Linked DNA regions of Drosophila melanogaster. The protein of the gene in region 4 interacts with the protein of the main gene of each other region in a pairwise test. Each region holds a gene or a part of one and is shown on either strand. Other genes may lie near its edges. The genes, in order: Cfp1, eco, CG7386 and M1BP.

Region 1 (4,784 bases), on a different chromosome or scaffold from region 4:
TTGAATCAGCAGGTCGTGTGTGATGTAGAAAAGTTCCGGACAACGACTGGCATTTTTGACAGTTCGTCTGGGGGAACAGTCACAAATCGCCACGACTACTTGATTGCCCGGGTAGCCGGATTCGTTCAGACTCGCTTGAAATTTCCACTGCACTTGTGCGTCCTGACATTCCTTTTGGCTCCCAACTACAGCATGCCCACTCTAATCCATAGCCTCCATCGTTTTCAAGGTCCTGCCGTTTCCAATGGTTGCCCCCCGCTCTTCATTTACCCGGAACCATTGTTTCGGATATCAAAACCCGGACTCGGTGGCCTATGTCTATATGATCTTCAAAATATGTTGAGCGTAGAGTATTCTTTTTTTCATGACTTTGTTTAATGCAGTAATATTAACCTGCATTATTAAAAAAAGCCTACAGCTTAAGAAAATGTATTTAATATGCTAACTTATTTTCTAGATTATTTCTAAATACAAACTAACAATGAACAGAAAACAAATCGTATATAGAAATTATAAATAACTTGAATCCAGCTAATAAACTAATATTAAGGTGTGTGCTAATGTAATCCATGTGAATGATATCCACGGTTGAGCTGGCCTAATGTATTAATAGCATGTTGCTATCAATAAATGCATATTTGATGCTTAGTTTTCAATAACAAACATGGGCGTACCGCCGATCCCGGCGCGTAGCAACCTACTACTGGCCGGGAAGCGGACCCAACAGCTGGCGAGCGTGTTATGCGGTTGCCAGGAGAAAGGCGACACTAGAAACTTTGCGTCGGGTAAGTCCAAAGATTACTGTCGTAGAAAAATATTTCTTGGACGTCAGTTTATTGTTAGTTCTTGCTATGATTAGGGGACTACAAATCTATGTTTTTTTCTGCAGGTATATAATTTGAGTTTTCTGTGGTATTTGGGCCTTCTTTTGCTGCTGCTGCAACAGTTGAAGTTGAAGTTGCTGCAGATGATGTGGCTTCAATTGCAGTTGCTGTTGCTCCTGCTGTTGTTGCTGCTGCTGTTGTTGCTGCTGCTGTGGTTGTTGCAGCTGCTGCTGTTGTTGCTGCTGTTGTTGTTGCTGCTGCTGTTGTTGCTGTTGCTGTTGTTGCTGCAACATTAGCTTCTGCTTTTCCTGGTACTGTTTCTGCTGTGTTTGTATTTGTTGCTGGTGAGCCAGGCGTCGCCTCTGCTTCTCGAACTCTACCAGATGCTCCTGCTGTTTGCGCACCAGCTCGTCCATCACCTCGTGGTTGTAGGTGGAGTGCAGCATCAGGCCGAGCAGGTTCGCTCGCGAGGTGAGCTGCTGCCGCATCACGCGCTCCTGCTCCATCAGGTCGTCCATCTTGAGCCATTGACGCACACGCTCCAGATCTATCTCAGCACGCCGGATCTTCTCCCAGGCGTAGTGCTTGAAGCAATTCTTCTTTGGCGCACGACAAAACTCGCCCGTGGGATTGAAGACGTTGTTCACTAAGGGCGAACCACACACATCCGTATCGTTCACCTTCGGATCCTTGCTGTGCTCCGGACACAATACTCTCAATCGCTTACAGTAAGTCTTACTTGCCGGATTGTAGAAATCACAAAACATATTGTTTCCCTCCATTCGCGTTTTGAATATGCTCCCGAAGCTGGCCTGCGATTCGTATTTGTTGAAGCACTTCTCCATATGCTTGATGGCAGTGCGCGAGTGAATCTCGTGGCCACAGGTGATGCAGTACATGCTCTGTTCGTCCTCCATGTCGGCGGTGTCTTGTGACCCCAATGTATCAATGGAGCTTCGTTTGGCTCGCTCCACCACCATGTTGAGCTCTTCGGAGCGCTTCTCTAGCTCGGCAAGTGCGAAACGCACCAGGGACTGCTTATGACGAATGTTATCAAGATGCTTGCGTGTTTCCTCGGCGGCGCGGCTGGGCGTTAGATTCCACTCTTGCAGTCGTTGCGGCAGAACCTGAGAGTGTAAAGGACTTTGGTGTTTAATTGTCATAGTCTGGCCAAAAAATGAAACTAACCTGGAAGATGCGTTTTGTGGCCAGATTGAAGCCACACTTATCGCTGCAGTACTTGCTCTGCGGTCTCGCATGGGAGCAGCAATTGGGTCCGTAGCACTGCCGGATGCCTTGTAGCTCCGGATTGAGGAATATCTCCGGACTGGCCGCCCGCGGGCCCACTTGGACATTGCGACTCTTGGGTGCCGCCTTTTCCCGCTTCCTACTTGGGCCGGCTTGAGTTGCCTGCGACTCCTTTAAGACCGTCGCCGCCTGGACAACGCAGGTGCGGAATATGCAGCGCGGCTTGTGGCCCACGCGAACGCGGCACGCGTCGCACTGGTTGCAATTGGGACGCCGGCATCCCTCACAGGTACCACAACGTTTGCCCATCTTTGGTTCTCGGGCGCTGCTGTTTTTGCGCTTCGCTGCCGCAGTGGTCGGTGGCGGCGCTTGCTGGCTGGTTGTTGCGGACGCCACCGGTGCAGCAGCAGGCGCAGCTCCCGATGGACCTACGCCCGGGGCATTGAGACTTGTAGAGGCGGCGTTCGATGCGGCTGCCCGTTCGGTGGCCACCAGGCGGAATATGGTTTGTAGTTCGGGATTCTCCTTTTTGCAGCGCCGGCAGTAGTACTGTTTGATGTGTTTAGCCTCCTTCTCGGTGATCCCTATACAGTCGCCGTGGTACCACTCCTCGCAACCATCGCAGCCTCTGGAAAGCGAAGGGTACAAGTAGTTAGCCGGGATCTAGCCCTTTAAGGCCATTCAACTCACATCATGAACCTGGAGCAGTCGGAGGAGCGGCATATGCAGTACGCTTGGTCTTCCTGCTTTAGAATGGTGGCTATCTTGGACTTGCGCTCAGGCAAATCAAATTCCCGTGCGATCTCCCGCCTGATTTCCTCTTTCTGTTTGGAAACCTCCTTTGTAGTTAAAAATATGATTGCCGTGCAGCGGGTGAAACTTACGGTCTTCTTATATTTGCGCTTGTCCGTCATCTCGCAGCAATCTTTCCGACAACAAATCCAGTCCAAATCCAAATCCGTCAATTAAGTTTCATGGAATTTTTTTTTGCGATGGAGATGGTGAATGAAAGGATATCGATAGCCTACTAATAATGTATTGCAGACAATCGATAGGTTCTGGCCTAATAAAATATATAATATTTAGCATAAAACTACGTTGTAGATTTTAATTGATGTATGACTATACAATAAAAACAATTTTAGGTATTTATTGTAAGCTGTGTATAAATATAAAATGCTTCGTAACACTTATATCGAGAGAACTAATTCCATAGTCTTAATAACAAACGATAGTGTGTTCGAGATCTATGAGATTAAATAGAGTTCTTGAAAGAGAAACAACGTGAATATAAAACCTACAAAAGATTGTTACTTTATATATACCTAATTTTTATTTTTCGATAATCTTTAAGATTTTGCCGCGGCCCAGTATTTTCGAAGTTTCGTAAAATTAAACATCGATAGAAAAATTAAGCATCGAATTACCACTGACATTGTCGGCTTTTTCTCACCTCTAATAACCGCGCGGTTTTTTCTTTGTATTTCGTTACCATTTTTTCTCAACTGAACTGAATTGAATGTGAATAGTCTGCAATTATGGCGGCCCTGAGCAACCTAAAACAGTGTCCGCCGTTCTCCACGCTGCCGGATCTGGCGCTGCGGCACAATCACATCCCAGAGCTGGAACGCTATCCGCAGATAAACCTGAACAGCGAACTTCTGGCCAATCCGGCTGGTCAGCGGTACTACGGCGGACAGAGCTTCGTATCTGTGAATGAGGGTGTCCTAAAGCGCATAGCTCGCAGCTTCTTTAATGGCGGATTCTGGAAGACGCTGGAGGAGGCACGCAGCCCAGAGACCAGGGAGCAGGCGCCGCTTATTGCCCAGGCGGGTGATTTAATCGCACAATTTCTGGGCCTGGCCACCGGCCTGAGGATCCTCCCGCACACCCAGCAGCTTAGTGCAGAGCGTATTGCTCAGTTCGTGGAGACCAGGTGGGTGGGGCGCAGCCAACTGACCAATAATACCTAAACCTTACTGTCCCATTCATTCAGGGATTGGCTCAACAGCGATGTGCGCTATCTTGCCTGGAATCAGCACTTCTTTTGCTTAGCCGTAGCCGGTGTAGACGATGTGGTGCGCATCTACACAAAGAGTTCCAGTGCGACCACTGCCACTGTTTTAAAGAGTCCATCCCAAACGCAGATCACCTGCATGGCGTGGCGTCCACTCTGCGCTTCCGAGATCGTGATAGGTTGTCGGCAGGGTCTGTGTTTCTGGGAAGTGGACAGCACTTTGCATTTGGGACGCACAAATGCACCCAGCGAGATTTTTAAATAGTCAGTATAGAAAATTTATCGTTAGTTGGTAAATACATAACTTATTTTCCCTTTTAGCCCAAACAATCTGCCAATAACCTCGATGCAGTGGAACAAGGATGGCACCCAGTTGGCCACCGCCTCAATAGGAGATCGTTCCATTATTATCTGGCAGCCGGACACCGGAATGATGCAGCCACTCAAGCGTTTGGGTCCGCCGGGCTCGCTGCTGAAGTGGTCGCCGGATAATGACTGGCTGTTCGCAGCCACCGTGGATCGGGTGTTCCGCGTGTGGAACTGCCACCAGCAATGGACCACCGAGCGATGGGTGTGCGGTCCCGGAGGCTATGTCCAAACAGCCTGTTGGTCGCCCTGCGGTCGCTTCCTGCTCTTCGTCAGCAGTGCCGAACCGATTCTCTACCGCCTGCAGTTCGTGCAACAGAGTCTGCTAT
Region 2 (6,378 bases), on a different chromosome or scaffold from region 4:
CTCAATGGTCTGGAGGGCAGGGGAAGAAGAGTGAGAAAGCGGTTCAACCACCACGCTGCATGCCACTTGCACCCCGAAACCAATTGCCACCGATTCCAATTTGTCACATTGGGCGTGGCGTCACCAAAGTAAACTAACTAGCAGCACCAGCAGCTCCCCACTTAGCAGCTTATATGCGGATTGCACTTACCATTTGCGCGCGATTGGTGGTCACTGAGATTGGCACAAGTCCCATTCAGGTGTGTTACACACTTCTGCTCTTAAATGTTATTAATTTCAGCCACTTTGCTGCTACGAAAACAACGCCCAAAAGCCAGGCTCAGTGTGCTAGTGATGGCACTTTGTGGACTCGCCGCATGGTTGCAAGCGATCGATAACCATTCATCGATCGCAAGTGCAGGTTGTGTAAATTTTTTACTGCATACATTTAGACATTAAGTTATTTGTTAGAATTTAAATATATTAAACAATGTTTATAAACATACAATTTAAAAATTAACGTATGTGCTATTTTTGTAACACCAAATTTACATGTTTTAAAACCCGACACGTAAGATAAACAATATTAATCTATATTTTCAAAATTAATGCGACTCGAAGAAAATATCGTGTTCATTGCGTAAAAACAGGCATATTAAACCACCATTGTAAACATGTTAAATTGCGCGTCTTCGTGCCGCTAGTAACATAATCGCACTTGCTTATCAACTATTACAGGTTTCGAAGCAATCCTAACTCAAAAACAATCCAGCTATTCAATAGCTTCAATAGATTTCCCCGATCACTGGTCGTAGGTGAGGAAGTTATCCAACCCGGTGAACTGGCGTGCCAGAGCCCGACCATCGTCGGTGGGCGTACTGAAGGCAATGCACTCCCTAGCGATCTCTTGACCGAGCACCGTGTGGCACTGGACGACTCGCAGCAGCTTGCTGGCGATCCCGCTGCGTCGCTGCAGCGGAGAAACCCAGATGCGTGAGACGCCGCAGCTGAAAGAAGGCACATTTTAGCCGTTGACAAGGGAAGGGGCATGCAGTAGGGGATGTCTTACCTGGCCGGGTAGCTTTCCTCGCTGAAGTAGTCCGTGCCATCGACCTGGATGAAACGATGGGCCTGCGAGAGGGGCTGCACCAGGCAGAAGCCTACGATCTGCTGCTTGCGCACTGCTATGAAGGCTACAAAGATCTTTGGCACAATGTACGAGGAATAGCCCAGCTCTTTGTCCACCACACCAATGAGATCCCGCAGTCTGTCGAGCCGAGCTGTCGGAGCGCGTTCGTTGATCCGTATGATGCGCCCGTCGCTGGCCCATTCTGGATAAACGGACACAATGTCCTCGTCGATCCAGCCCTTGAAGCGCAGCACATGGATGGAATTGTGGTACTCGCGATGAAGCAGCTCCTCCTCCGGCTCGTGCACGGTGTACACCAATCCGCACTGCTGGCACTGCCGTGCTCCGAAGGCCTTTTGACCAGCATCGATCTGGTACTGATTCGATCCACCCGCCGCCGTTAGCAATCTCATCGATGTATCCGGCCGACGCCGCAACGATTTCTGGACAACGGGCTGTAAGCGTTGAGTGAATATGGGGAAAAGCTTTGGCTGAACTTCCTCTACTGCTGGCGCATCCTGTTTTGGTGCAATGGCCACCGCTGTATTTTCCACTGTTTCCATCTGAGCAAGCTGCGCAGCCTCCTCGCTGTTCACCACCATGTATAAATTGTCCACAATTTGATTGGCCTCGTCCTTGTAGTCATCCGGATTTGCAATAAATATCTCAAAGTTCTTTTCGGTGCAAATATTGTTGCTAATGAGAAACTCTAGTAAAATTTGCTGTTGCTCCACGACATTGGGATCATCGGTTTGGTATGGCAAACGTTGACGGAACTCAGCAAAGGGATCAATTTCCACATCGTTCGCCTCTGGGGCATACTCAATTATATCCGGTAGCGACTCCGTTTCCATGGTCGTCTCCTCCGCATCAATGGGCGTTGCCTGTACCACCGGATTCGCTTCTACAATCTCATCAACCACCGTATCGTCCAGATTCTTTAGGATCGCATCCACAGTCGCCTGCTCGGCGGAAAATATCGTGGCCGACTTGACGCGCACTTGCCGCGGCTTACGGCGTATCGTTTGGACGAGTTCAATCTTGCCCTGGCTGACGCTGGCCCGGATGTTGTCCGTGATTCTCACCTCCATGCAGGTGCTACTACGGCGGCCCGATTTGAAGAACTTTCGTTTGCTTAGATCGGCTGGCTCGGCGGTTGGGGATTTCTGGACCGGCTCGTGGCGAATTATTGGTATGATAGGCTCCACCTCGATGATGGGATCAATGTCTTCGACATCACTAAGATCGGAGAAATCGGCGGAAGTTTCTTGCCATGCGGTTGCTGGCAGATTGTTATTGTTGTTAGCATCGTCGGCTTCAATCACACTCAATGGTTTGGCCATTTTGATCGGGTCCTTGGCATTACGGAGAATCTGGTGGACTTCCTCCACTTTGGCGCGCTCTTCACGCTTGGTGGTGATCAGGTTCTTGAGCCGTTCGTTGCTCAGCGAGTTGAGAATGTTGTCCATATCGGTGGCTGGCAGTCGGTTGGCAAAACCGTGACGCTTGCGTATTTTGTGGTGAACTCCCTTATTAATGCCCAATAGTGGACGGGAGGTTGGCGAGATTTTCGTTGGTTGTTTAAGCGAATTCTTGGATATGGACGGCCGCCTTCTTGACTTTGTGACCGCTTCTCCACTGTGGGAATAGAAGGCCATGGTGGGAATGCTGCTGCTCAGCGTCACCTTGCGCATCTTGCTCTGCGGCGAACCAGAGTCGGCGTCCGCTGAAGGAGCAACCGGGGTGGACGTTTCTGGGTGCTGTCGCTTTTGAGGCTTATGATTGGATGCTTCTTCGTCCGATTCGGGCACTTCGACATCAATCTTCATACTACTTCCTGGGCTTTCTGGCCTTTTTGCTGTGGCAACTTCGGAAGATTTCGCTGTTTTATTGTTGGTGTTTCCTGTGTTTCGTTTTACTGCATCGTCATTTGACTTGAACACTTCTACCGGGGACTTGGATCTGCTTCTGCTGTTTTCTAGCTTAACTGCTGCTGTTTTTTCTTCATCATACGACCTCATGTTCTCATGTAGATGGGCAGCAGCCTTCAGCGTCTTGCAGTTTATATCCGCCGACGTGAAGGGTCTTCGCCTATTCCTGGTTTTTGGACTGATGATTTGCGAGCTCCTTGTTTCACGAACTTCTGTATTCTTCCTGGAGTTCTTACTGCTAGAAGGTTTCTCGTCGTCCGACTGGGACTCTTCAGCTGGGCTCGTTTTCTTCGGTTTAGTTGTATGCACTTGGGCAGTGGTCTTTAGGCTGTGGTTGTGTTTCTTCTTTGATTTTTCTAACATTGATCTTGAATCCTGACCCTTCATTAGCATAGCTGCCACCTTGCTTAGCCTAGTCTGAAAAGATTCTGGCGAGGAGAACGCATCTGGATCCTTTTGCGCACTGAAGGTTCGTGGACTGCGTCTGATGCTATTTCTGGCTCTGGAAGAAGGAGTTCCTTCAGAGGAAGAGGTGGGCGACGACATTGAAGAATCCGCTCGCTTTCTTTGGACCCTCGTCTGACGGGGGCTGCTGTTGCGACTATTGCTGCTGCTGTTGCTATTTAGCCGCATGGTGGCTGTAAACAATTGGGGCAGCTGCTCCGCCGTGGCAGTCATGACTCCGCCACGGGTTTTTTTGTTCTCCTTGTTGGTTTCCGGGCTGCTGTTCGCACTGCTGCTTGACTTGCCGGGGACTGCGGCGAAGAGACTCCTGCCCTTCCTGTTGGCCGCCACATGGGTCTTTAATGGCAAGACACCCAGACTGTCTACGTCCGCATCATCCTCGTCGTCGTTGATTTGGCGCAGCCTGGATCTGGGACTGCCAAACAGTTGCCGCTTGCGCTCCGAAAGGCGCGGAGTGGCCATGCGACTGGGACGCCCACTACCCGTCGGGGTCTCCATGATCGCGCGCAAATCTTTTATTTCGCATTAACTTTGTCCAAATTGTGACTCCTTCGCGCTTTTTTGTAGCTGCCTAGTGTTGGGGGTGGTTGGATCGTTCAGGGTCTCTTCGGTCGTTTGCCAACACATGCCAGATCGTCTATGTTTTTACTGCAATGTTTATATATATTAAATGCATTACATTGTTTTTAAATTTTTTTTACATCAATGTTTATAAAAATCAAATACATTGCAATGTAAATATTTTCTGTTAGTTATAATTTTTTTACCACATTTTACATTTAACATTTTTCTTCGAAGCGATCAAGTCAGCTTGCAGTTTTTCGTAAATTATTTGGACTTATTCTACGATTTCTGTAAAATAAATAAGTAATGTTAATTATATTCTTGATCCAAGACAAAGTATTCAATATAGTACCACTTAACGAGTTACGATCATGATCGCTAGACATTCTATGTTTTCTAATCTTCATATATTTTAAAGATTTCCGTATTATTTTAACTATCCGGTATTTTTACAGAGCTAAGGTGATCATATAACGGGAAAACTCTATCTGGTATTTCCACCCAAGTCAGACTCAGTCACACTCTTCCAGACGTCACACGGTCATATTGCGGACGAAGTGCGAATCGATTTGGAAAAATCTGCTGCTCGGCCTGGAAAGTAGAAAGTATAAAGCTCTGCGTTTATAATTTAATTTGCAGCCAAAGCCCGCTGCCGATCAGGTAAGTTAGCTCCCCCACATTATCCGTACCGCCATTTGAAAGCCACGCCAACGAGAACCGTGAGAAAATGTGAACTCTAGCCGCCGCCATCTTTTTTTATGTATGCGTTAGGCCACAACGCCAATAATGCGATTTAAAACCGAGTTTATTAAGATTACTCGCGCTCCTTGTGCTGCTGCCTTAATGTTTATCCTTTGCTCGTATTGGTTAAAATAGAAAACAATTGCACTGTCTTCTCTCTTCTCTTGAGGTATCGCGTTTGTTCGTCGCCGTTGTCGTCCTCCAACCGCGGTATATACATACAAACATATAGGCAAATATATATAAATATATTTTCGACGCAGCCGCCGCCGCCGCCGCCGCGTAGATATCCATTTTCCGGGATTACCCCACCCAGAGTGATATAAACGATATAACCGTGGACGACCACGCAGCGGAACCCGCTGCCGCCATGCCCGGAGCCGGCACGTTCAAGTTATTCATCGGGAATCTTGACGAGAAGACACAGGCCACCGAGCTGCGTGCACTGTTCGAGAAGTACGGTACCGTCGTCGAGTGCGACGTGGTGAAGAACTATGGCTTCGTTCACATGGAGACGGAGCAGCAGGGTCGCGATGCCATACAGAATCTGAACGGTTATACGCTGAACGAGTTCGCCATCAAGGTGGAGGCGGCCAAGAGCCGGCGGGCGCCCAATACGCCGACCACGAAAATCTTCGTGGGAAATCTAACGGACAAGACGCGGGCGCCGGAGGTGCGGGAACTGTTTCAGAAATACGGCACCGTCGTCGAATGCGACATTGTGCGCAACTATGGTTTTGTCCATCTGGACTGTGTCGGTGATGTGCAGGACGCCATTAAGGAGCTGAACGGTCGCGTTGTCGATGGCCAGCCGCTCAAGGTTCAAGTGTCGACCAGTCGGGTCCGCCCCAAGCCGGGCATGGGCGATCCGGAGCAGTGCTATCGGTGCGGAAGATCCGGGCATTGGTCGAAAGAGTGTCCGCGACTGTACGGCAGTGCCGGAGGCGGACGCGAGCCGCCATCGCCCCTCAGCGCCGGCGGCTACAGAGATCGCATGTACGGTCGTGACCCGTATCCGCCGCCACCACCGCCGCCGCCGTTCCTGCGTGACCGCATCATGGATGGCTTTAGGGTAAATTCAGCATCCATTTGCCCCCCCGATCAAATCATCCATTGTGCCAAGTATTATTCACATTCTGTGCTGCTACTAATCTAAATCTTGTTTTCCCGCCCGCAGGACTATGACTACTATGACCGCCGCTTCGAGGACTCACGCGATCTGTATGAGCGTCGCTATCAGACCTCGCGAATGCGCGACTTCCCACCGCCGCCCATCTCTCGCCGCGAACCCATGCCTCTACCGCCCACCTTAAGCGGCAGCCTGCGCTCCTGCAGCGTTTCTCGTGGATACGACACTATGTTCAGCCGGCGCTCGCCTCCGCCGCCGCGTAGCAGCAATGGAATGAGTCGCTACGGGTAGGTAACCCTGCAAGTGGATGAAATGTCGCACTTTCTTTTCCAAATATGTGTGTACTAAAGTTAATTCTTATCAGATGACTACGTTTTCCATACTTACTTACATATTAAGACCTAGATAGTGCTTTGCTTATATGATGAAATTATAAAATG
Region 3 (4,679 bases), on a different chromosome or scaffold from region 4:
CTCTACTACCAATCCAACAAGGCCTTCAAGCGCGTGGACATGGACAAGAAACAGGAGGAACTGAACAACATTAAGGCCAAGTACAATCTGAAGACGCCTGAAGCTCCTTAGAACCCACACTTGGTGCGGCAGGCGGTGATGGGGCATAGCCAGACATTGGGCCCCACCAGATGACGCCCCCACTTCCATCGACCATTTTCCATTGTTTAGGGAACTTCTTGCTCTGCTTATGTGTATACCAAATTTTTGCTATCTACTTGTAGATTTTTTTGATCGCATTTTGTATCATTTGAATCTAATCATTATCATCCATCCATCACTCCATCTATCATATAAACGGCCGGATATCGCGGAACGCAGACATTTGCGCCCGGTTCCGACTGTTTGCAATCATTTGACGACATTAAGACACTCTCTCATCAAAATAACAAGCAAGTGAAAGTAAAAATAAAAAAAAATTGAAAAACTAGAATCGTTTGTTTCGATTTATGACCAATTTTTTTTAAAACTAGTTTTAGTCCAAAACCATTTGTAGTTATTCTAAAGTGTGTCATTTGGGTCAAGTTTATTTAACAACTTAGAAATAGGATAACAAGTAATAGTTAAATATTAACCAACAATAAAAATTCCCACTATTATGGGAAGTCTTTTGCCCTATGTAATCGTAAACTATTCTGCGATTAGGGTTCCTCCTTAAGGTCAGGACCAGTTTGGCTAGCTGCCGCTGCCTATTACTTTTCGTATGTGTCTTGCTGCTTCTCCAGTGCCAGTTGGTTCTTCAAATCCTTGAGCTCCTTCTTGGCGACCTTCGCAATTTCCTGCCGTAGTGCCTCAACCTTTTGTTTACGGTCATTTCTCTCCCCCAGAGGCTTCGCCGGCTTTTCGTCATGGACTTTTTGGTGTCGGATGAGCGCCGCTACCTGGCGAAAGCGATTGCCACACGTCTTACACTCGAAGGGCTTTTCGCCAGTGTGTATCCACTCGTGTTGCTTCACGGATTGCGAGTTGGCAAAGCGACGGGAGCAGAAACGGCACTCAAAGTCCTTGACTTTTTCGTGGACGCTCTTGTAGTGGCGCTTCATGTTGCCTATGCTCTTGAATCCCTGACTGCAGCTGGGACACAAGTACATACCCTCCTTTTGCACAAACTGAATCTCGTCTGTGGGATTCACTGCGGTCCCTGCCAATAGGGCCACATCAACTTGCTCTACGCGGCGGGGATTCTTAGGAATGCTGGCTACGGATTCGGCGTAAACCTTCAGCAGCTGATGTGAGTCCACTTGAGTGTCACTGGCATCGCCATTTACTTGCACCTGTTTATAAGTTTCCAGAGCCCTTTCCACGCTCTTCTCATGAATCTTCAGATGATTGTTGAGACTCTCCGAATGCAGGAACTTTTTGTCACAAACCTGCAAGGCGAAAATATATCAGACTTTGGTAACAAGGGTATAATGGTAATTCCCTTACCTTGCATTCGCAGCGCTTCTCACCAGTGTGCGCCATCTCGTGTATTTTGCAGGCGTATGCTTTCCCGAACGTCTTTCCACAGTACTGGCAAGCAAAATTCCGGATTTTCTCATGTACGATCTTAACATGGCTCTCTAGCACCCGCTTCGTGTGGGTGGCATAGTCGCAGATGCGGCACTTAAACTGGTTCCGTTGGGTGTGGATCAGAATGTGCTTACTCCATTCCTGGCGGGTGGTCTTTCGCACTCCGCAGTACTGACACACGTAGTTCTTGATGCCAGCATGCCGGAGAAGATGATTCTTTAGGGCACTATTGATGTAAAAGCCCTTGCCGCAAATGGTACACGGATAGGGAAGCTCTTCGCCCGTGTGCGTGTACATGTGCTTCTTCATAGCCACCGGGCAACGAAACACCACGCCGCATTCCTTGCAAGACTGTTCACCCCGCGGAGCAATAACCCTCGCCTGGTTGTGAACCTTTTTCAAGTGAATGGTCAGCAGCCGGAGACGGGAAAAAACCAATTGACAGCCCTCCACGGTGCAGGGAACCGTATCCTCCTTCTTGGAGTGCGCATAGTCCACGTGCAAACGCAGTGCACCGGCTGTGGTGAAGCCCTTTCGGCAGCTTTCCTCCTGACACTGAAACGGCAACAGGTCATTGTGGTGCTTCATGTGCTCCTCGAACTTTGATTGCTTTTTGAACTTTTGCTGGCAGATGGAACAGCTCATAAGGCGAAACAGTTTACGCTTGTCGTTCGCAATCCGTCGCTGCCCCATGGCCTGCTCATCGTCGCTGTTGAACCCTTCCGACTCCTTTTTCTCCTCCTCCAGTCCGTTGTGCTCTGCACTGGAGAAGTGCTCCTCGCTTTGGTCCCTTGAATGCTCCTCTAGTTCCTTGTCAACTTTTTCCAGCAACTTGAACACATCCTCCTCGTTGTCAATCATCTCTAGTTTGTTATTCAGCAGCGGATCGAAACTGGCCGGCTCCTCTGGCCTTTCAGGTGCCTCAGAATCATCAGCTATAGATTCGAATACACCCATGGGCATATTCCTCTGGCTGGTCATCATTTCCTTTAGACGTTTAATAGATTCTGCGCACAGTTCGCGGAAGTCATGCAGGTCGTTCAGCTTGGTGAAACATTGGGTGCACAGGTTTCTCGGGAAACCGTCGTTTTGATCCGCATCAAACGAAGTGCACGCCCTGAGCTTCTGGAACAGATCTGGAACCACGAAGAGATCGTGTCCAGCACCATGCTTCAGGTGGACAAGGCAGGTGAGACAAAGCGATTGGACGGAGTACTTGAGCTCCATAGTGCCCATTTCCCTCAATTCTCGGGCAGATAACAATCGAAGCTTCTAAACAAATTTGTTCCAGTGTGACAGGCAGTCTGACCGTTTCGCTATGCCATTAACCCATTACGGTGTAGTGGGGTGGCAAGTAAACAGCATACTTGGATTCTTATTTTTATATTAACTTGTTTTAATGTAAGTGCTTTTTAGCAAGACCATGCATGCGTCTAGTTAAAATACATTTATTTATTATTTATTTTTGACTTTATTTCGATACAGAAATCTTGTACGTTCATTTTCGTATCAAATTTTCTTGATGCCCAGTTTGTATATTTTCAAATGTCGTTGCTTATTATTAAAAGCAATTTGTTTTACATGTTTATATATACATACTAATACAAAAAAATTTGTTTTATATTTTTTCTATATATACATACCATTATCTATATATTGTAAGTTCAGTTTCGTTTTTGTTACTATGGTGCTCAGTTTGCAAAATATTTTTAAAAAACCCTGAAATACTATTTGAAGTATACAAGCAATATCTATTTAATTAAATTAGTTGTATATATATATATTTTTTTTTTTTGTATATTGCAACCTAATTAGAATTGCAAATAAGAAGGTAAGAAAAAACATTGATTGTCCAGCCCTGAAACGCAAAACAACTACGCACTCGGACGAGTAACTCGCTGGCAGAAGTACTTGCTTATTGCCCACTCGCCCGATTGCCAGTCGACGAGTATACAATTTTTTCTGTGTCAATATTATTTTATTGCTTACTGACCGGAGAGAGACGCAAAAAGCTATAGAAAACCGCCCCGATCCGCAGTGCCGATTGCGATTGAAAGCAAGATGAACGAGGGCAGGCAGTACTCGATCCACAGCCTGTGCAGGATCTGTCTGAACCACCTGCAGAACGACGCCGCCTACGATTTGTATCTGGTTCCAGGACTTTCGAAGAAGCTATGCTTCTGCACATCCCTGTCCGTGGAGCAAAACGACGGATTCCCGAAGAACCTGTGCACCCTGTGCTACACCAAGCTGAACGAGCTGCACGACTTTCAGAAACAGTGCGTCGATTCCGTGCAAAAGTTCCAGGATCTGGTGGCCAGCAATGTCTTTGCCTGCCAGAGCAGCTTCGACGTCTTCGATCCCAACGTTGCCGTGCAGGACTACCCGGCCGAGGAAGAGGACCACGTCAACTATGACCCGCTGCTGAACCACAAGATGGAGCTAATCGAGAACGAGGAGGATGTCTTCAAGATGCTGGAGCACGTCGACAAGGAGGCCGAGGAGGTGGAGAAGGAGGCCAAGGTGGAGGAGGATGACGGGGGCAACGTTTCCGTCAAGATGTTCGACGACGATTCGTCCATCGAGAGCGGCAATGACAACGACCACGATCTGGACTTCGAGCCAAATAGCAGCGATGATGACATTCCGCTGGCCCAGCGCATGAGGGGACCAGCTACCGGATCAGGACCCCAGCAGGACCGTTTTAGCAACCTAGACAAACCCAAGCCGAGGCCCCGGGGACGGCCCAAAAAGATAAAACCGCCTCCGCCAGAGGAGGAGGAGTTGAGCGACTCATCCTCCGAATCAGATGACTCCGAAGACGGCACATCGCGGGGCGACAAGCCGAAGAGGAAGCGCATTCCCATCGAGGAACGCCACCTGCACCGCATCATCGACTGCCACATTTGCCACCAGAAGTTCAAGAAGGCCATCCGCTACGAGGAGCACATGAAGTACCACAACGACCTGCTGCCCTTCCAATGCAAGGTGGAGACCTGCAAGAAAGGTATAACGCTGGCTTAAGTATAAATATAAGTATCCGATCTCTATGAAATCCCACCTTACAGGTTTCACTACCGCCAATGGGCTGCGCATTCACATCGACCACGCCCACACAGAGCTGTCCG
Region 4 (4,107 bases):
GCACCAAGTAGCAGCGGGCATAGCTCGATACCAAAGGATCAGCTATACCCCTCAGTTGATGGGTCAAACGTTGCAAAATGCGCTCATACTCCTCGCGCGATGATGACAGGAACTCGTAGCACTTGAATATTGACAGCTCCAAGTAAAAACGCGGCAGTAACTCACGAATCGAGGCGATCTTATAAAACCAATTCTGGCACGTATCCCGGGCAGCTTCCCGTTCCCGCTCTAATGTGGCCGCCGATGCGGCAGGATCTCCAGAGGCCTTAGCACGCAGTCGTTCGTATACCAATTTTCCAAAAACATCCAGTATATCAGTGATAAGAACGTACTGACTCGGATAGAATTGCAGCACAGTGGTGTCCGCTAGCATTTTGGCACACTGTATGGCTATCTTCAACGCTTTTACTCGCTGATCGTTGTGCCAGGACTGGATCAGCTCCTGCTTGAGTTGCTCAAACCGCTGAATGTACTCCTGCTGAGTAAGATCCATCATGTGACGCATGCTGCCATCGTCGAAGTGGTCTAACTGCTCCAAGCGAAACTTTGTCTTGTCGGCCACCACCGTTTGTGCTTTAACTATGATTGTTGTTAATATATATCACAGATCAACCGACCACTGAACTTACTGCTTTCGTTGCCGCCATCCAGGCTACCAGATGACACCAGAAAGCTGGTAGACAGCGATAGCTTCTCATTGGTTGTAAAGCGGTTGAGGATGCCTAGTCGTCGGCTGCTCCACTGCAGTGTGTTGTCCTCGGGCTCCGTTCGGTCCCGTTCACGACGCTTCGACTTGAGATCCTGAACATCCAAGTGCGAAAAACTTAGTCATGTTCCTTGCCGGTGCACCACTCTACTTACGAATTCGCTGACCATTTGACTGAGCGGATCGTTGAGCTCATCATCTTGGCGTGCAAACTGCGAGAGCGGATCTGTGCCCTCTAGAGCTCGGCTCAAGGGATTGCTGTCCACCACCTGGTGGAGATTGTTCTTTCATTAAAATCACTTACAGATAAGGGCGTTGTACCATTTACCCACCGTCACCGTCCGCTGCTTTAGGGGATGCTCCAGCGTGGCCTGCCCAGTCAGGCAATTCTTCCGGACCTCGTAGCATCGCGGCACGCACACCCTGCAGTCAGGAGAAATGGTTATCAATGCTTATTTGTTTATTTTCGGGGGAAAATAAATAAATTACCATTCCAAGTTCGCCATAGCGTCGTGGTTGTTGTTGTCGGCATTCCTGACAGCTGCTTGCCAACATGACATGGACGTAGCCGGTCAGGGATGAAATACACCAAAGAAACTGTACTAATTCCAGGGACTTTAGCTTAGAACCTGTTCTACTGTATATATTTCGTTTCGCTTGCAGCTCTATAGAAATTAATTTATAAAAAAGATTTAATTTAAAGATTTAAATAAAAGATTTTATTTATAATTTTATAAATTTAAAATTATAAAACAAATTAATTCAAATTTATATGTGATATTATTGGAGTATAATAAATATGCAAATCCGTTAAATATCAAAGCAATATATAATACTAACGTTAACAAAGTAATTCATTTTCGAGGATATATATATATTTTGGCATCATATGAACCCCTTTGCCTACGCCACTGAAAATATGTTTATTTCGGGGCGAATGGCAAATATTAACACGAAACACCGGGTGAATGGCAAATGCAGTTGACAAGCGACGCGTTTATTTTTTGTGTTCACAAATATCTTAAAAACGATTTCATTTCGGATTGCGAATGAAAAATGTCGAAATCGGCGCTGAAACACCTAAAGAGCACCTGCCGCGTATGCGCAAAGTATGCAAGCAACAAGCGGTCGCCGAAGTTATTCGAGCGGAGCAACACAAAGATGATCGACAACATTGAGGCGCTCACAGGCCTTCGGGTAAATTTTTCACTGCGGCTTTATGGAATTTATGTAGTTATAGCTTAATTTATTGGTGTTTAATCTAGCTGGAGAACTACGGTTGCCTGCCGGATCAGATATGTGAATGCTGCAGCATGGAACTGGCCTCCGCCGTTAAGCTGAGGGAGCGCTGCATCGCCGCCCAGCGTGAGCTACTCTTGGGATTGACCGAGGAGCAACGCCAAGGCATCTCGGCCTTCTACCGGGCGGCTGTCATGGGCGAGGATATTGTCCAGACGGTGAAGACGCCCGACGATGATGAGGTCTATGCCACTTATCAGGAAATCGTATTGGAAGAACCTAAGGAAGAGATCGACGACACCAAGGTAGAGTACGATAATACCTACTACGAGGTGGCCGAGGGACACGCCGGCGAGGACGACGCAGCCTCCTTGATTGAAGAGGCCGACTATGATTCCATAATGGCCGAAGACGAAGAGCAGCAGCAAACGTTGGAGCTGGACGAAGACACCGAGCTAATTGTGGGCGACGTCAACGACGCGTACGTCTACGATTCGGATGATGAGGTGGCCGTTCTTGACAACGTGCTGGATGATGAGTACGAGCATGAAAACATTGTCGTCAAGAAGTGTAGTCTGCCGCCAAAGCCAAAGGTCCGGTCGGATGATGCGCGTCGTCGTGGCACCGGCGGAGTATACATCTGCGAGCAGTGCGGCAATCACATCAAGGGACGCATGGCCTTTGAACTTCACTGTCGTCGCCATCGTGGGGACAAGCAATTTGGCTGCGAGTGAGTACATTTCTACTCCTTTTTGGATACAGTATGACTAAATGGATTTATTTTCAGACTCTGTCAGTCGCGCTTCTGCACAACTTCCGAGCTGAAACGCCACATGCGCAAGCACACCGGAGAGCGACCGTTTGCATGTAAGTACTGTGGCCGCTGCTTCACAGACTACACCACGCGCGTGAAGCATGAGCGTACCCACACCAATGAGCGCCCCTACGTCTGTGGTACTTGCGGCAAGGCCTTCACTACCGGCTACATCCTTAAGAACCATATGCTGATACATTCCGGCGAGCGGGCCTACAGGTACGTTGAGTCATACAGCTACACAGTACCGGGAAACCCAATAACTAGGTTTCTTAGAAATTCTAAGATCATATTATGCGGCATTACAAGAGTTTTCCAAAACCTTATGAGAGTTAAGATAACTAAATATTACTTATGTTGCCAAATTTCGTGAGTAATATTTAGTTATCTTATAATAATTTCTTATAATAATATGAAACTAGTGATACTGGTACAGTTACTGAAATGTTTGAAATGCCATCTAATACTGAATCTTCCCCTCAAGGTGCGAGCTGTGCGACAAGTCCTTTATGCTGCCCACCCACCTGAGCACCCACTTCCGGTCTGGCGTACACAAGCGGCATCTGGAGAAAGCCGAGATGAAACAGGTCCTGGAGCAGGAGCAGAAACGTGAACTCAAGGAGGAGGAGGAGGACAGCCTGCACATCTAAAGCTGTCCTTATAATATATACATAGCAATTACAGGCAATGCTAGACCGACAATGGCGCACAGCCAAGGAGCATTTCTGCAAATAATTAACAAACCAATTGTAATATGTAGAACTTAATATTGAATAATAAATCAAAACTTCAAATCCCAACTTATGAGCATTTATTTCATCTGTAAAAATTGCTTCCATGCGAATGGCAAACGGAACAGCTGATTGACAAGCATAGCATTGTTTACAAAAAGTTTGGCGTTTCAAACTTTTTTATCGGCTCAAAAATGGAAGGAAAAGTGTGTCGCACTTGCGGCAAGCGCACGAATGCTGAAAGATCATTGAATATTTTTGAAAAGCGCAATCAAACTACGCTGGAACACATCAAACTACTAACTGGAGCTGTGGTGAGAGGATAATAATGCGTAGTGTCTTTAACTTTCTAAAGTTTTTTCTCTTTACAGTTAAAGAACTGTAGTACGTTGCCAAATCGACTATGTGCGTCCTGCCAAACTTGTTTGCAACAAGCCATATCCTTTAGGGAACGCTGTTTGGAAGTCCAAAGGGAGTTGCTCCATTCCCAAGATGATGAAGACTTCCTTAGAATCTGCCAGGAATCTCCCAAAAGTGTCCTTGAGCAGGAGGAGTTGGAACTGGATCTGGCAGAAATAAGCATAGAAGTCGAGCGATTAGACGATCTCAATGAAGGG

Evidence for each region.
Region 1: the proteins of M1BP (region 4) and Cfp1 interact in a two-hybrid assay, tested with the Drosophila melanogaster proteins (one large-scale study listed by BioGRID).
Region 2: the proteins of M1BP (region 4) and eco interact in a two-hybrid assay, tested with the Drosophila melanogaster proteins (one large-scale study listed by BioGRID).
Region 3: the proteins of M1BP (region 4) and CG7386 interact in a two-hybrid assay, tested with the Drosophila melanogaster proteins (one large-scale study listed by BioGRID).

Annotation. Positions count from the first base shown.
Region 1 is NC_004354.4:9,269,904-9,274,687, forward strand, and holds Cfp1 (CXXC finger protein 1), read right to left. Parts: upstream 3,058-4,784; 5' UTR 2,987-3,057; coding exon 2,763-2,986; intron 2,701-2,762; coding exon 2,013-2,700; intron 1,952-2,012; coding exon 872-1,951; 3' UTR 531-871; downstream 1-530. Other genes in the region: aladin, read left to right, coding at 3,611-4,008, 4,069-4,353, 4,411-4,784. UniProt on the Drosophila melanogaster protein: Component of the SET1 complex that specifically di- and trimethylates 'Lys-4' of histone H3. Essential for Set1 association with chromatin and trimethylation of histone H3 at 'Lys-4' at transcription puffs.
Region 2 is NT_037436.4:7,334,890-7,341,267, forward strand, and holds eco (establishment of cohesion), read right to left. Parts: upstream 4,452-6,378; 5' UTR 4,421-4,451; exon of another isoform or gene 4,377-4,420; intron 4,357-4,376; 5' UTR 4,272-4,356; intron 4,153-4,271; 5' UTR 4,003-4,152; coding exon 1,049-4,002; intron 987-1,048; coding exon 782-986; 3' UTR 553-781; downstream 1-552. Other genes in the region: lark, read left to right, coding at 5,180-5,881, 5,987-6,225. UniProt on the Drosophila melanogaster protein: Acetyltransferase required for the establishment of sister chromatid cohesion and couple the processes of cohesion and DNA replication to ensure that only sister chromatids become paired together.
Region 3 is NT_037436.4:6,187,913-6,192,591, reverse strand, and holds CG7386 (uncharacterized protein), read right to left. Parts: upstream 2,848-4,679; 5' UTR 2,779-2,847; coding exon 1,468-2,778; intron 1,410-1,467; coding exon 732-1,409; 3' UTR 543-731; downstream 1-542. Other genes in the region: Sf3b6 (splicing factor 3b subunit 6), read left to right, coding at 1-111; D19A, read left to right, coding at 3,613-4,558, 4,620-4,679.
Region 4 is NT_033777.3:8,729,238-8,733,344, reverse strand, and holds M1BP (motif 1 binding protein), read left to right. Parts: upstream 1-1,646; 5' UTR 1,647-1,762; coding exon 1,763-1,903; intron 1,904-1,971; coding exon 1,972-2,675; intron 2,676-2,732; coding exon 2,733-2,978; intron 2,979-3,243; coding exon 3,244-3,409; 3' UTR 3,410-3,555; downstream 3,556-4,107. Other genes in the region: CG8202 (uncharacterized protein), read right to left, coding at 1-579, 630-801, 862-975, 1,039-1,129, 1,196-1,212; ranshi, read left to right, coding at 3,685-3,804, 3,862-4,107.